Caenorhabditis elegans: one gene and its partner. The protein of the gene in region 2 purifies or fractionates together with the protein of the main gene of each other region. This does not show direct contact. Each region holds a gene or a part of one and is shown on either strand. Other genes may lie near its edges. The genes, in order: srsx-14 and sor-1.

Region 1 (5,038 bases), on a different chromosome or scaffold from region 2:
TATATTGTTTTTCTGGAGCTATTCTCCAAGTTGGACGTTTCAGGAATAGAAGAGTTTAATGCACTATTTAGATTCTATGTAATTCAAAATAAGTTTATGACATGGTTTCTGTTCCCATAAGTTATTGTAAAGACGGAGAACACAATACTGTTTTTAACAGCTGATAAAGCCAATCAACGGAGTATTGACAGCAGTAATTTCTTCAATTTCTTCAAACGTTTAATTTTTGGTTAATTTTATACAAAAGTCAGGAAAAAAGATAGGTTTTCTTAGAAAATCGGAAAATTCTTCATAAAAAATACTCGAAACCCCCCCCCCCCCCCCCTATTTATTTATCAGAAAAACGTTGAATTTTACCAGAAGAACAGATAGCAACTCATTCAAAAATAGAGAAATGTATGTTTTTTTAATTGAAATTTTTTCCCGAGTAATCAAATAACAAATAATCAAAAAAAACCCGAGATTATTGTTCCGCACTATTTATGTACTTCGATCATGCATGTATTAACCTCACAGTACAGTTCAGTAAAACCATGTCATGAAACAGTAATTGAAATTTTCCAATTCTCTGAAAAATGTATCAGAATTTGAAGTCGTATTGAAATTTGAATTTCAATTCAAATAAAAATGTCAATTCAAAGAAAAATTCAAGAAATAAATTTAAAATGGATTTGTGATATATCTTCTTTAGTGTCTGTTGTCTTTAATCTTTTTTGTCTGACCAATTGATACAGTAGAGTTTCGCCAACGTTGTCCTACAATACTACTTGACTCATTTGATAATTTTGGTAAAAGTGCTCCCAATTTTGGATGAATCTTTGAAATTTGCTCGCTGAGCAGTCTTCGATACTCCGAACTTCTGTAGTAGCAAATATAAGCATTCTGTGAATAAGCAACGACCACCGCGAGAACCTGAAAAATAATATATTTTGCATCTTGTCTGTGTGGAAGTATGTTCAAAAATAATGTTAAATTTAAGGTCCTCAGGGAAACTAAATATAATTTCTAACACTTTTAAAGTCTGTGATTTTTTTTTGAAATTGTTTTTTGAAACATAGCCTGTTGCAATATGTTTTGAAATGTTGAATCAAATTAAACAGTGTAATCCAGTTATAATCGCAAGAAAACTCGACAAGAAATAAGCAAATATTCAATGAATATTCAAAAACTAACATTATAGTTTTGTACCATTTCGACAACTTCCTGATCAATCCTAATTGCAATCATAATACTTGTAATCGTAATAGTGATAAATCGAAACATTAGAAATAAAAGTATCAAATATTTCAGTGTGTTCAGGGCTTTTCTCTCAATAAATCGAAGATCTGTATTCTCACGGCGGCCCTTGAAATAGATAAGAGCAAACGCAGAAACATAGAAAATTACAGTTAATACGGAGAAAGCCGTCATAACATAATACCAATAGGATCTGACAATTGGATGAAGAGCCGATGGTGGATTGCACATCTGAAATGGAACAATTTTTAATCTATAAGTATATGAAATTATGAACAAATTTCATTTTTGAAACTCTATAAAAATAGTAAAGTCAACGATTGAAAAGCTCATTGGAACTGACTTGATATTTTTCTTACGCTATTTGAACGATCATGATTGTGTTGCTTAAGTCGTGGCAATTGTTTAATTGGCATGCCAGTTGGCAAAAATATTTTATACATAAACCTGTTCTAAAACGGTACTTTTCCGAAGGATCTGGATTACTTGGATCTTTAAAAAACGGATCACAGTGAAGAAAATTGAGTGAAAAGTGTTTGCTCGAACAATTGTGTTTTTATAGTAACAAGTTTATTTTGAAAGCATAGTGAAACATTTCGTTAAAAATTGTTTTAAAGTTACCGAATTTCAAGTTTAAATTATTCTTCAATTAATTTTTTGCAAGTTTTGTCATTCAAAAATGGGTAATCATAATGTATGCGATTCGACGAGTATCAATATTGTTTTTATTATTTTAGACAGAGTTAAAAACTTGTTGAAACATGATAGGAAAAAAAAACTTACCGGCAAAGCTTCCTCAACGAGATACATAAATCCAAATCCTACAAAAATAGCTCCATATGCAACTGGTAACAAAAATAAGATCACAAAGTACACGGGAACGTGAAAGTTCCGACTTTTAATAGGATATAAAATTGTTATCAATAAATCTACTGATAAAACCCATATTGTACCAGTTTGCATTGAATAAAGAAAAATGTATGGAAAAATTACAAGGAAGCATGTTTGACGGTCAATTTTGTAATAATAATACGAAGCTGAAGCAGGAATTAATTTTCAATTATTTAGAAACTATAAAAATACAATCTTACCAGCTACGCTGAAACTCATATCCACAAGTTCATATAGAAGACAAAGTGTGTGCAATGTGGCAAGAATTCCCAAAATGCAACCTGGTAAGGGCTTAAATTAAATGAAATATAAACTCTTGTGAATGTATTTAAAAAAAAAATAATGAAACATTTGAACTTTTTGATACCAAAGTTTGTTTTGCCAAACATAAGTTTTATTCGTTGAATTACGCAGTGCATAGCGCTTGAAGAACGGATCGTCCTTTAATCCTTTTTAATCTTTTTAATATTTATATTTCGAATCGTCTCGTCACAACTTTATTTTCAATTTCATTTTGGATTGATTTTTTATAGTTTGCAGAAATTATTTCCTGAAAAAAATAAAAAAGTTACATTTATCCATCAAATTTTTTTTCTTCAAAAAATTAAAATGCAACTTCAAAATATTTTACTGTTTCAAAAATGTTTTATCAGCTAGCACATGAAACCGTTTTAATAATTTCTTCCTATCTTGTTTAAAGATCTAGAAACTCTGAAAACTCACCATATTTAGTCCTTAACGACTTTTTTCTAATTGTTAAAACTACCAAATTAATATTCCCAAATAGTCCAAACACTTCCAAAAATAAAACAAAACAATAAATAATAATACGATGAATTCGATAAGTGTCCTCTGATATCATATTTTTTCTAAAAAAAAATTATGTTTCATTAATTGAAAATGAGCATTTCAAAAAAAGCGAGACAAATTAAATAAGGTTGATTGGAAATGTGATTCCATCCAAAATAAGTGAAATCCGAGAGAGCAGGAAGTTCTGAAAGTTGTCAGGTTTCATATTAAATTATTATATTTACAAAATTAAATTTACACTGTCATAAAATTCTTGCAATTTTCTTTTCTGAAAAAGTATGGCATAACAAAAAAATATATTTCAATTTTTTTTACGGTTTCAAATGTTTTTCAAAGCGAAAAAGAAAAATCTATTTTAATCTTCCTTTTTTACTCTCTCTCATAAAAATAAATTCAAATGAACTAGAAGACAAATACTTTCATCATAAAGATTTCAAAAAACTTAGTAGAAAACTTAGAACACCGAAAAAGTCTGATAAACGTTCAGCAGCTATTTTAGAAAAAATCGAAAACTTGTTGGGTGGGCGTTGTTAATTTAAAATTTGTTTGAATTGCTTTTACTGGAAAGTTTTTCATGATTGATTTCATATCAGTTCAACTTTGAAAAAAAGTTTAACTGGGAATTTTTTTTAATTATTGCGGTTTCAAGGAAATCATAAAGTAGAATAGTAAAAACAGAAAATCACTAAATTTATTTCAATTAACTTGAAAAGAGATTCACTAATGTTTTCGCAAAAATTTCTATTGATCCTGTTGAGTTCTCCCCTTATTCAGTTATTATTGTGTATTTTTTTGTTAAAGGCCTATTGAAATCAAAGACGATTTTTGAAAAAAAAAACACTTGTATTCAGAAATTTAAATGTTCCGAAATTGCGGCAACTGTTAGAGGCACACTATTTAAAAAATTTAAAAAAATTAACTTTACTTTGAAATTAATAGAAAAAAAGATAATTCAAATCTAAATATAATTCCGAGCGTACAAATTTTGGAATCATACACTGAACTCTATGCAGACAGCCGAAAATTGAGTAAAATATATATTCATGAATATAATCAACGCGTGATTCATTTTGTGATTTTAATCTTTGTACTTTATCCAATTTCTTGCAAAATAGGCAAAAATAAATAAAATCACGAAATGCTGGAAATAAGCACGTTTTTTTAAAGATGATCGAACTATTTTTAAGAAGGTTTTTGATATTTTATTGAAAGAACTTACGTCACTACATTTGAAGAGGAAATCTTAAAAAATATTGATACGGAAAAAAGAAAGAAAAATTAATTAATTTGGGAAAATCTCTATGCAAAAAAATTGAAAAAAAAACAACTGTGTTCTCCAAGACGCAAATTCCGGAACAAATAATCTGCAGCATAGCTCTATAATTATAACCGAAGTTCATAACTTCATAGTTTCATAGTGCTCCTCCCCTCCTTTCACTAGGTTTATTGAATCATTGCGCATTAGAGAAATTAAATGCTACAAGTGAAACAGTATTTAAAAAAAATGTTGTGAATTTTACGCCCATCAGGAGCCAATTTATTTGTGACCCACTTCCTCGAAACTTCCGTTGAAAGCATTGTTTTTTAGTCAGGAATGGTAGGTTTTATATATCTGTAAATTGCTTGTTTTGTTACAAACTAGAAATATAAATTTATTAGACTTATTAAAATGTTTGAGTAAAACTCATTATCCAATAATATGAATACTTGTATAGTTTTGAGGAGTATTCGATGTTTCCGTCGGTTCAATTTGAACAATTCTAAACAGCTTTAGCTTGATAAATTGTCGATAGGGAGTTACGAAAATGAAAGAGGCAAGAGGCGATAAAAATGGAATCAGAAGAAATGAGGAAAATGTGAAATATTCAAGAGCTGGATGATTGTAGATTCCAAATTGTCCAATGGCATATGAGTAAATACTGAACAAGTAGAATCCAGGAATTGCTGCTTGATAGGTTAAAGCCTGAAAGCTTGATTTAATTTTTTGGGGAAAAAAACTTGAAATTTTTTTTTCTGTTTCACTATTTCCATATAAATTCTTGATTTGTTTTACTTCATTCGTTCACGACTTTTATTTGAACTTTCATATTGATATAGCAAG
Region 2 (6,824 bases):
TTAACCACAATAGCAAAATGTTCAAGTTGATCGACGTTACCTGAAAATTCTAATGAAAAGTTTGTTCTGCAAGATTGTATAAGAATTTAAGTTTTGCCAAAAAAAAGTTTACCAATTTTTGCTGACTATCAGAATTAGGGATCTGGGAATAAATGAAATACTACTGCTAACTTCTGTAAGCTTAGTTATAAATTATCTGGATTGACAAATCAACGTGTGCTATCTACAAAAGGAAGTACACAGATTTTATGAATCTGCGGATTTTATGTGATCTGCCAATATTTTTGGAATTATTGTATTATATCGATCAATTCGTAGTAACCAAAAAATCGACAAATTGAAAAAAGAAACTTTTTTGCGTGCTTAGTTGGTTATTGGTGGAAACATTCTGATTGGCGCGGTAGTTCAAAATTTAAATTTTCACAACCATCCGGTTGAAAGTATATTGGTGCTGGTCCAATTATAAAATTGCTTCATTGCTACTTGCTTTCTTAAATACTGTTCTTGTTTTCAGACGCTTCGCATAACGATTCTCCAAATAAAATGTTTATTGTGTGATGATTGTGTAAAACAGACAAAAAAAGAAACTAACTCATCTAAAAATAGGTAAATGAGAGCAAAGTTTTAAGATCACTACTACTAGAAGCGTAAAAAATAAGACAAAAGCAAAAACCCGACAGAGGAAAAAAACGGAAGAGGTACACAAAATATGGTTTGGTAACAAACATAATTATTTACAAATTTATATTGAATTAAAATTTATGTTGGATTTAAAGTTGGTGGTTGTGCTGTAGAAGTCGTTGGTCGGTTCTGTAAAAAGTTGAATTTAAAATAATTCCAAAATTCCTAGAAAATTAACATACCGATGCTGGAGAACTGGTCGCTGTTGCAGCATTTGTTGGACTGGTAGATGAAGCTTCAGAAGATGTGGAAGAGTTTCCCATGCTTGGTGGGCGTTGACTATGCATTCGATGTATATGATTCATAACCTGATCAATTGATTTCTTCTTTCTATCAACAACTGGTCTTCCGATGTCTAATGAAGATGGTAGAAGTATTCTTGGAAACTCATTGTTTAGTGGCAAATCCCACTGCATAATTCTATAGAATGTCTTCCATTTTTCCACATTTGACTCGTCGGATTGAAGTTCCAAAAGGTACAATTGCAATTGATCACTGTGCGACATTCGATGAATCTTGACATCTGCCTCATCGCATCGTCTTCGAGACAAATACATATTGTAATCAGCAATTGAAAGAATTTTATTGAAGTGTGGCATTGGATCACCAAGGAAGTAGAATTCGAGGAAACTTGCTGGATCAGCCTGTCGAGAATTGCACAGAAGACGATACTCGTTGATAGCTTTTATTGTGTTGCTCACATTCAATCTCTGAAAACTTTAATTTAATTTTGAAACTTTATCAATGATTTTGAACAAAACTGGCACTTATACGAAACCCTGCATTTACTGAGAATTCATTGAAGGTGAAGTAGTAAGTTTGTTGAATGAATGAATTTTGATTGAATGCATGTCAAACTATTCAGCTTGACCAAAAATACTCTGTCAAAGTTTTGATAAAGTGAGAATTTTTGAAAAACTTAAGGGCTTTTGAGGAATTCAAGACTTTGATACGTGTTCAAACTACTACAACTTCACCTTAATAGATGTTTAACTATCTCTTTAAAAAATCAACCAAAATAATGAGTTTGATGTCAAAAGCAATTCTCAAGGGTAAGATTTCCTGCCAGAAACATCAATTTTAACAATCTACATAGGCGGTAGGCAGGCACAAAGATTTGAAACCGTGCTTGCCTATTATTGAAGATTTATTAAATTTAAGAGTATAACTTACTCCTGATTTTTCATATGGCGGGAAGTGCCATGGAATGATTGAATTGGTGAGCGTCGCTGGTGATGCAACAGTCACATATGTATTGTTATATGTCTGCTTAGAATCTGGCCTAAAGTTGCACGGATCCGGTGCTCCAGGTCTCAAAAACTGCAGTTCTCCTTGGAGAGCTCGATGTGGTGGCTGTGGAGGAGGTGGTCGAGGTGGGTTCAGTTGTGCCATATTCATCGCCATTGCTTCAATCTTCACGAGGCGATTGCGTACTTCTTCAGACGGCTGCACAGATGAAGTATTCAGAATTCGAGCTCTTTGGTTTGAATTTGGAAGTTGCATATATGGATGTGCATAACGCTGTCCATCTGGTCCAATCATAAATTGCGGTGAACGTTGGAATTGTGGAGGTACGCCTTGTTGACGATTCTGGAAATTAAAGTATAAAAAATTGAACTAATTTTCCAGGTTTCTGAAAACCTACCTGTTGTGGTGGCAGAATACCAGGTGGATATGCTGGTGGAGGCAATCTTTGCTGTCCTTGTGGTGGCATTGGTGGCATGTTCATGTACTGTTGAGGAAGTATTTGCTCTCGATCAATTTTTTCAATTTCATTCTGGACCCTTTGATACGCCTTTGCCAATGTGAACTTCTTGTTCATAGTCATTGTCGGACTTTTACAAGATTGGGCATTGATTTCCTGTAGCTGTTGAACAAGTTCATTTCTTCTCTTTATTCTTTGAACGCTGGCAATGCAGATCGAATGGAAGATGCTCTCCAGATCACTCGGTCTCATTTTTTGAACTTCAGAAATTGGTTTTCGAGTGTACCCAGCAACTGCACGGATTTTCGCTTCAAATGGAACATTTTTTTCAAGTTTGAGTGTAACTTGAGGACAAGCCATCGGAGGAGCATTTCCAGTGCCAGGTGGTAAATCATGATAGGAAATCATATTAGTACGAGATCCACGAGCAACTTGTCTTTTCTGTTGAGAAGTTCCAGGAATTTGTTGCTGTTGAGATGGTCCCTCAATTGAGGCTTGTGGGACTTGTGGAGAAGGTTGTTCAGCTTCAAATGAAGCTTCTTCACTTGGTGCTTCTACAGTTAGCGAAGGCATTTCATCATCATCCATCAGTGTTTCATCTTCTTCTGGCAATGCAACAGGAGTTTCAATCTTGATTACAACCGGGGCAGGAGCAACTGGAGCATTTATAGCCCTCATCAATTCTGACGGTCCAGCTGGTTCACGCACTGTTTCCATTTCCTTCCGATTTGCCTCACTGGAGCATGACGGAGAGCTAGTTGAAGGTACACTCGAGCTACTTTGTCCATCATTCATTGCTTGATGTTGTTGGTGATACTCTTGATATTGTTGATATTGCCCATGTTTTCTTGCTTTCTCTTCTTCTTCCTCTTGCTTCATAATTTTCGCTTTCATTGACTCCGAAGGCACAAGCTTCATCTCCAAAAAGAACTTGTCAGATCCCTCGTTGCTCTGTTTATATGCAATATCACGGAGAACTGCATCGGGTTTCTGAAGATGAAGGCGCTTTCCACCATGCAACTCTAGTTGTACGTAGTCTGTGTCGATCTCTAACAACTTGACGAGATCCTCGATCAGCTTGTCAACACGAGCTCGTGAATCACAAAGAAGTACATATTCAGGCCCGTCATCAAGTGGGCCATATTCTGTGCAAAGACTTGTGACGTGGAGGCATAAGGTGATGTAGTCATCTCTTCCATATTTGGCGTTCAGTGCTTTTCTGGAAATTGGGAAATTAAAGTTATTTTTCTAAATCTTATCTTCATGTATGTTTCTGCAATTTTTTATGTTCTATCTCAATAAACTTATATTTAAAGGTTCAACTAACTCTAAAATCGTTTTTTTTTATTTGCACATATATTTTGGCAGACCAATAATAATAGAAAACTACAATTTCTTAGGCTACAAAAAAAAGTAAAATTGTAAAGCTTACTCATAAGATTCAGGAGTCTGATTGTTCACATTCAACACGTAATCGCTCAATGCTCGGGGGATCACAAATTGTGGCCCTTGAAATTTGTGCTTGATAGAGTGTGGATGTGGCTCCTCCGGGACTTTTTCTGTAGACGAAGACGCAGGTTCACTCGACATTATCTGAAAATTCTTCTGTTGAAGTGAGCGAGAGAAAGATTATACGAAGGATTACATCAGAACGGTGAAAAAGAAAACGAATCCATTTGGGAGATTTAAGGATGGAGGGGGGACGGATTAGACAGTGTAAGGGAGCAGAGAAAAAGAGAAAGAAATCCCTCTTCATCACTTATTTATTGGATTCTTTTCTCGCGGTTTATGGGGTTTCAAGTCGGAACGGTGAGAACAAGTCGTAGTTATGAACGAGAGACAAAAAAGAATTCAAAGGGCGCCGCTGAGAGAAGTGTACACCGTAATCAGTATGCAAACACTAATATTGTTGCTCTTTTCAGTAAGATTTTGATCAAGATAGAGATAACATCATTTTCTTAAAAGCTCAGAAACCTTTTAGAAACGATTAAGGAGAACATCTTCCAAATTTAAAAGCGCAATATTTGGAGGTCAAACATATGCTCTTTGAAATGTTCAGCTAAAAGTTATCAGCTAAATTTCACGGGTAGTCTGTGAGCGCCCTCTTCATTTGATCTCCAGAAATTTCGCCAATTTTTTTTCCATACTGTAGATCAGAAGAAGAGGGAAAACTCTAAACATAGATGCTACTTCGGAACAATAAACACTTAACACTTATGAGAAAGAATTACAAATTTTTCAGGAATAAGCGTTTTGAAAGTTAAAAAAAACTGAAATTTGCAAAATTGACGAATTTTACGAGAATATCTTCCAAAATTCAAAAAAAAACATATAAAATCAAATTTAAAAAAATCTAGATATTAAATTATTTGAGTTTTGGAAAAAGGATATATCAAAAAATACACAAATCACTCTATGTTTTTTATGATGTCAGCTCTGGCGTCAGTAGTGACTGATGTTTTGTTTATTAGAAAAAGAGAACTTAATGAAAAAAAAACGAAAATTTATAATTATAAAGATGGGCACATGCGGGTCACAGCTTTTCAGAAGGTGAAGCACAAAGGAAAGTATGAAGATGCATGAGAAATTGTGAAAAGAGAATTAAACATTTATCCGAAACTTACCAACATCAATCAAAATAGAAATTTAGCATGTTTCCTAACTGGCCGCCGCCGCCACCGCCGCCTTCAGAAAAATCAATAATTCAATTGTTACAGTAAAAGTACAAGTCATGATGGGGTCATACATTGATTAGATATCATGCAACTATACTTTTTCATCTTAACAACTGAAAAACTATATGGACAGGAGAGAACAAAGTTTGGAAAATGGACAGACGAAGGAAGGGGAGAAAGGAGAAGAGGACTGGCTACAGAACGAAACACAAGGGGCAAGAGAATCTGCAGAAAGGCAGTCACAGAGAAATATTCCTTGGAAACAAGAGGGTCTAGAGAAATGAGGCAGATACACAACTAATTCTGCATCGACCAATCGGAGGCCATCGACACGCCTCCTTGTTGTTGAGCCTTTCACGAAAGGGCGGGGTGGGTAGTGTCAGAGATACAGTAATCCTTTTCGCCTGCCTTCCATCGCATTTAACGACTATCGACAAAGAGAGATGAGGACAAGAGATGCAGAGAAAAAGAGTGAACGAGGGTGTGTGCGCTTTCTTGAATGACACATTCAAGAGACAACACTGGAAGTTAGACAGTGGGTGAAATGAAGAGAGCAGTCTTCTCATCGGACCCTGTGGTGCTCTCGGAGCCCGCTGTGGAACTTGCCGCCAAATCGATCAATCATAGAATTATATGCTCGTGTGTGAGTGTGTGAGTGTGTGTGTGTGTGTGTGTGTGTATACTGAAGGATCCTCTAAAAGCTGTCAGCGACGGCGGGACGTAAACAATTAAGCAGAGGGTGCGAGATACCGTATTCGTTGACTCCGCCCATTTTATCTCTCTAGCACAACACTATTTTCATCTTTCTCTCGTTTCGGTTTATGTGTGTGTGTGAGTGAGTGTGTATATGTGTAAATAGATGCTTACGAAACGAAGAGAAAAAGAAAGAGAGCGGCGGAAAGGACGGCACCAGGCGCGCGCGCATATATTTTTATGTTGAGGGAAAAGAGAAAAAAAAAGAACAGAGAGAGAGAAAGAGAAAATCGAGATGGACGGCCCAGTGTCCCCCCGCCACGAATAATTGAATGAAAGCGCAATGGAGGGGAATACGGTAATTAGGTTAAAGAGATATGTTCCCCCGTTTGATGGGTTTTCAAGTGGCGGAAGAGACGTGTCCTTCATCCGGAGGATTACTGTAGAATAATTACTGAAATTGGAGTACCATGGAGTTAATGAGCTGGAAATTTTTGATTTTGATTAAAGAGCAGCTCCAAAATGGAGGCAAAGTCTTAAGATCTAGCAATTAGTAAATCTTAGAAAATACAATTTATGGAACAACTAAATATAGTAGGAATGGACAACAACCGGAAGTTACCTAACTTGACCAGCTGAAAACTTTCGGCTACTTTCCTGATACTGGTTAAAGTTTTGGCATTGGTCAAACAAATATATTGCCCTTATATTCTGAAAAATAATATGAGAAAAAGGTTCGCTTCTTTCAGGCTCTCTGAATATATTTTTCATAATAAAATAAAATTTCAAATTGGTATTGTCAATTTCCAAAGTTGCCGAACATCAAAAAATGTTGGCAATCGGCAACTTTTCCCTTACTGTACAAGTACGGTAGATTAACTTCTGAAGATTATTCATTACGACGGGAAACGTAAACAATTGACTCATCGGGTGTCCGATATCAGTAAATGACGTTGAGAGATTGAATGATGTTTGATATGATGAAGAGAGCACGATATACGTTACAACTTGGTAACCAATATCAAAGAAACTAACTTTGAGTTTATTCAAGGATAACTTTATTCTCAACC

What was found.
Region 1: the proteins of sor-1 (region 2) and srsx-14 fractionate together in Caenorhabditis elegans (co-fractionation; one large-scale study listed by BioGRID). This does not show direct contact.

The regions. Positions count from the first base shown.
Region 1 is NC_003282.8:5,624,168-5,629,205, forward strand, and holds srsx-14 (G-protein coupled receptors family 1 profile domain-containing protein), read right to left. Parts: upstream 2,990-5,038; coding exon 2,851-2,989; intron 2,824-2,850; exon of another isoform or gene 2,803-2,823; intron 2,409-2,802; coding exon 2,328-2,408; intron 2,274-2,327; coding exon 2,020-2,273; intron 1,956-2,019; exon of another isoform or gene 1,932-1,955; intron 1,785-1,931; exon of another isoform or gene 1,764-1,784; intron 1,468-1,763; coding exon 1,174-1,467; intron 1,127-1,173; exon of another isoform or gene 1,106-1,126; intron 913-1,105; coding exon 688-912; downstream 1-687. Other genes in the region: srd-12 (G_PROTEIN_RECEP_F1_2 domain-containing protein), read right to left, coding at 4,625-4,900.
Region 2 is NC_003281.10:8,416,360-8,423,183, reverse strand, and holds sor-1 (Sop-2-related protein 1), read right to left. Parts: upstream 5,017-6,824; coding exon 5,011-5,016; intron 3,980-5,010; coding exon 3,819-3,979; intron 3,606-3,818; coding exon 2,327-3,605; intron 2,272-2,326; coding exon 1,855-2,271; intron 1,392-1,854; coding exon 864-1,391; intron 811-863; coding exon 760-810; 3' UTR 530-759; downstream 1-529. UniProt on the Caenorhabditis elegans protein: Acts synergistically with sop-2 to maintain the transcriptionally repressive state of homeotic genes throughout development. Not required to initiate repression, but to maintain it during later stages of development.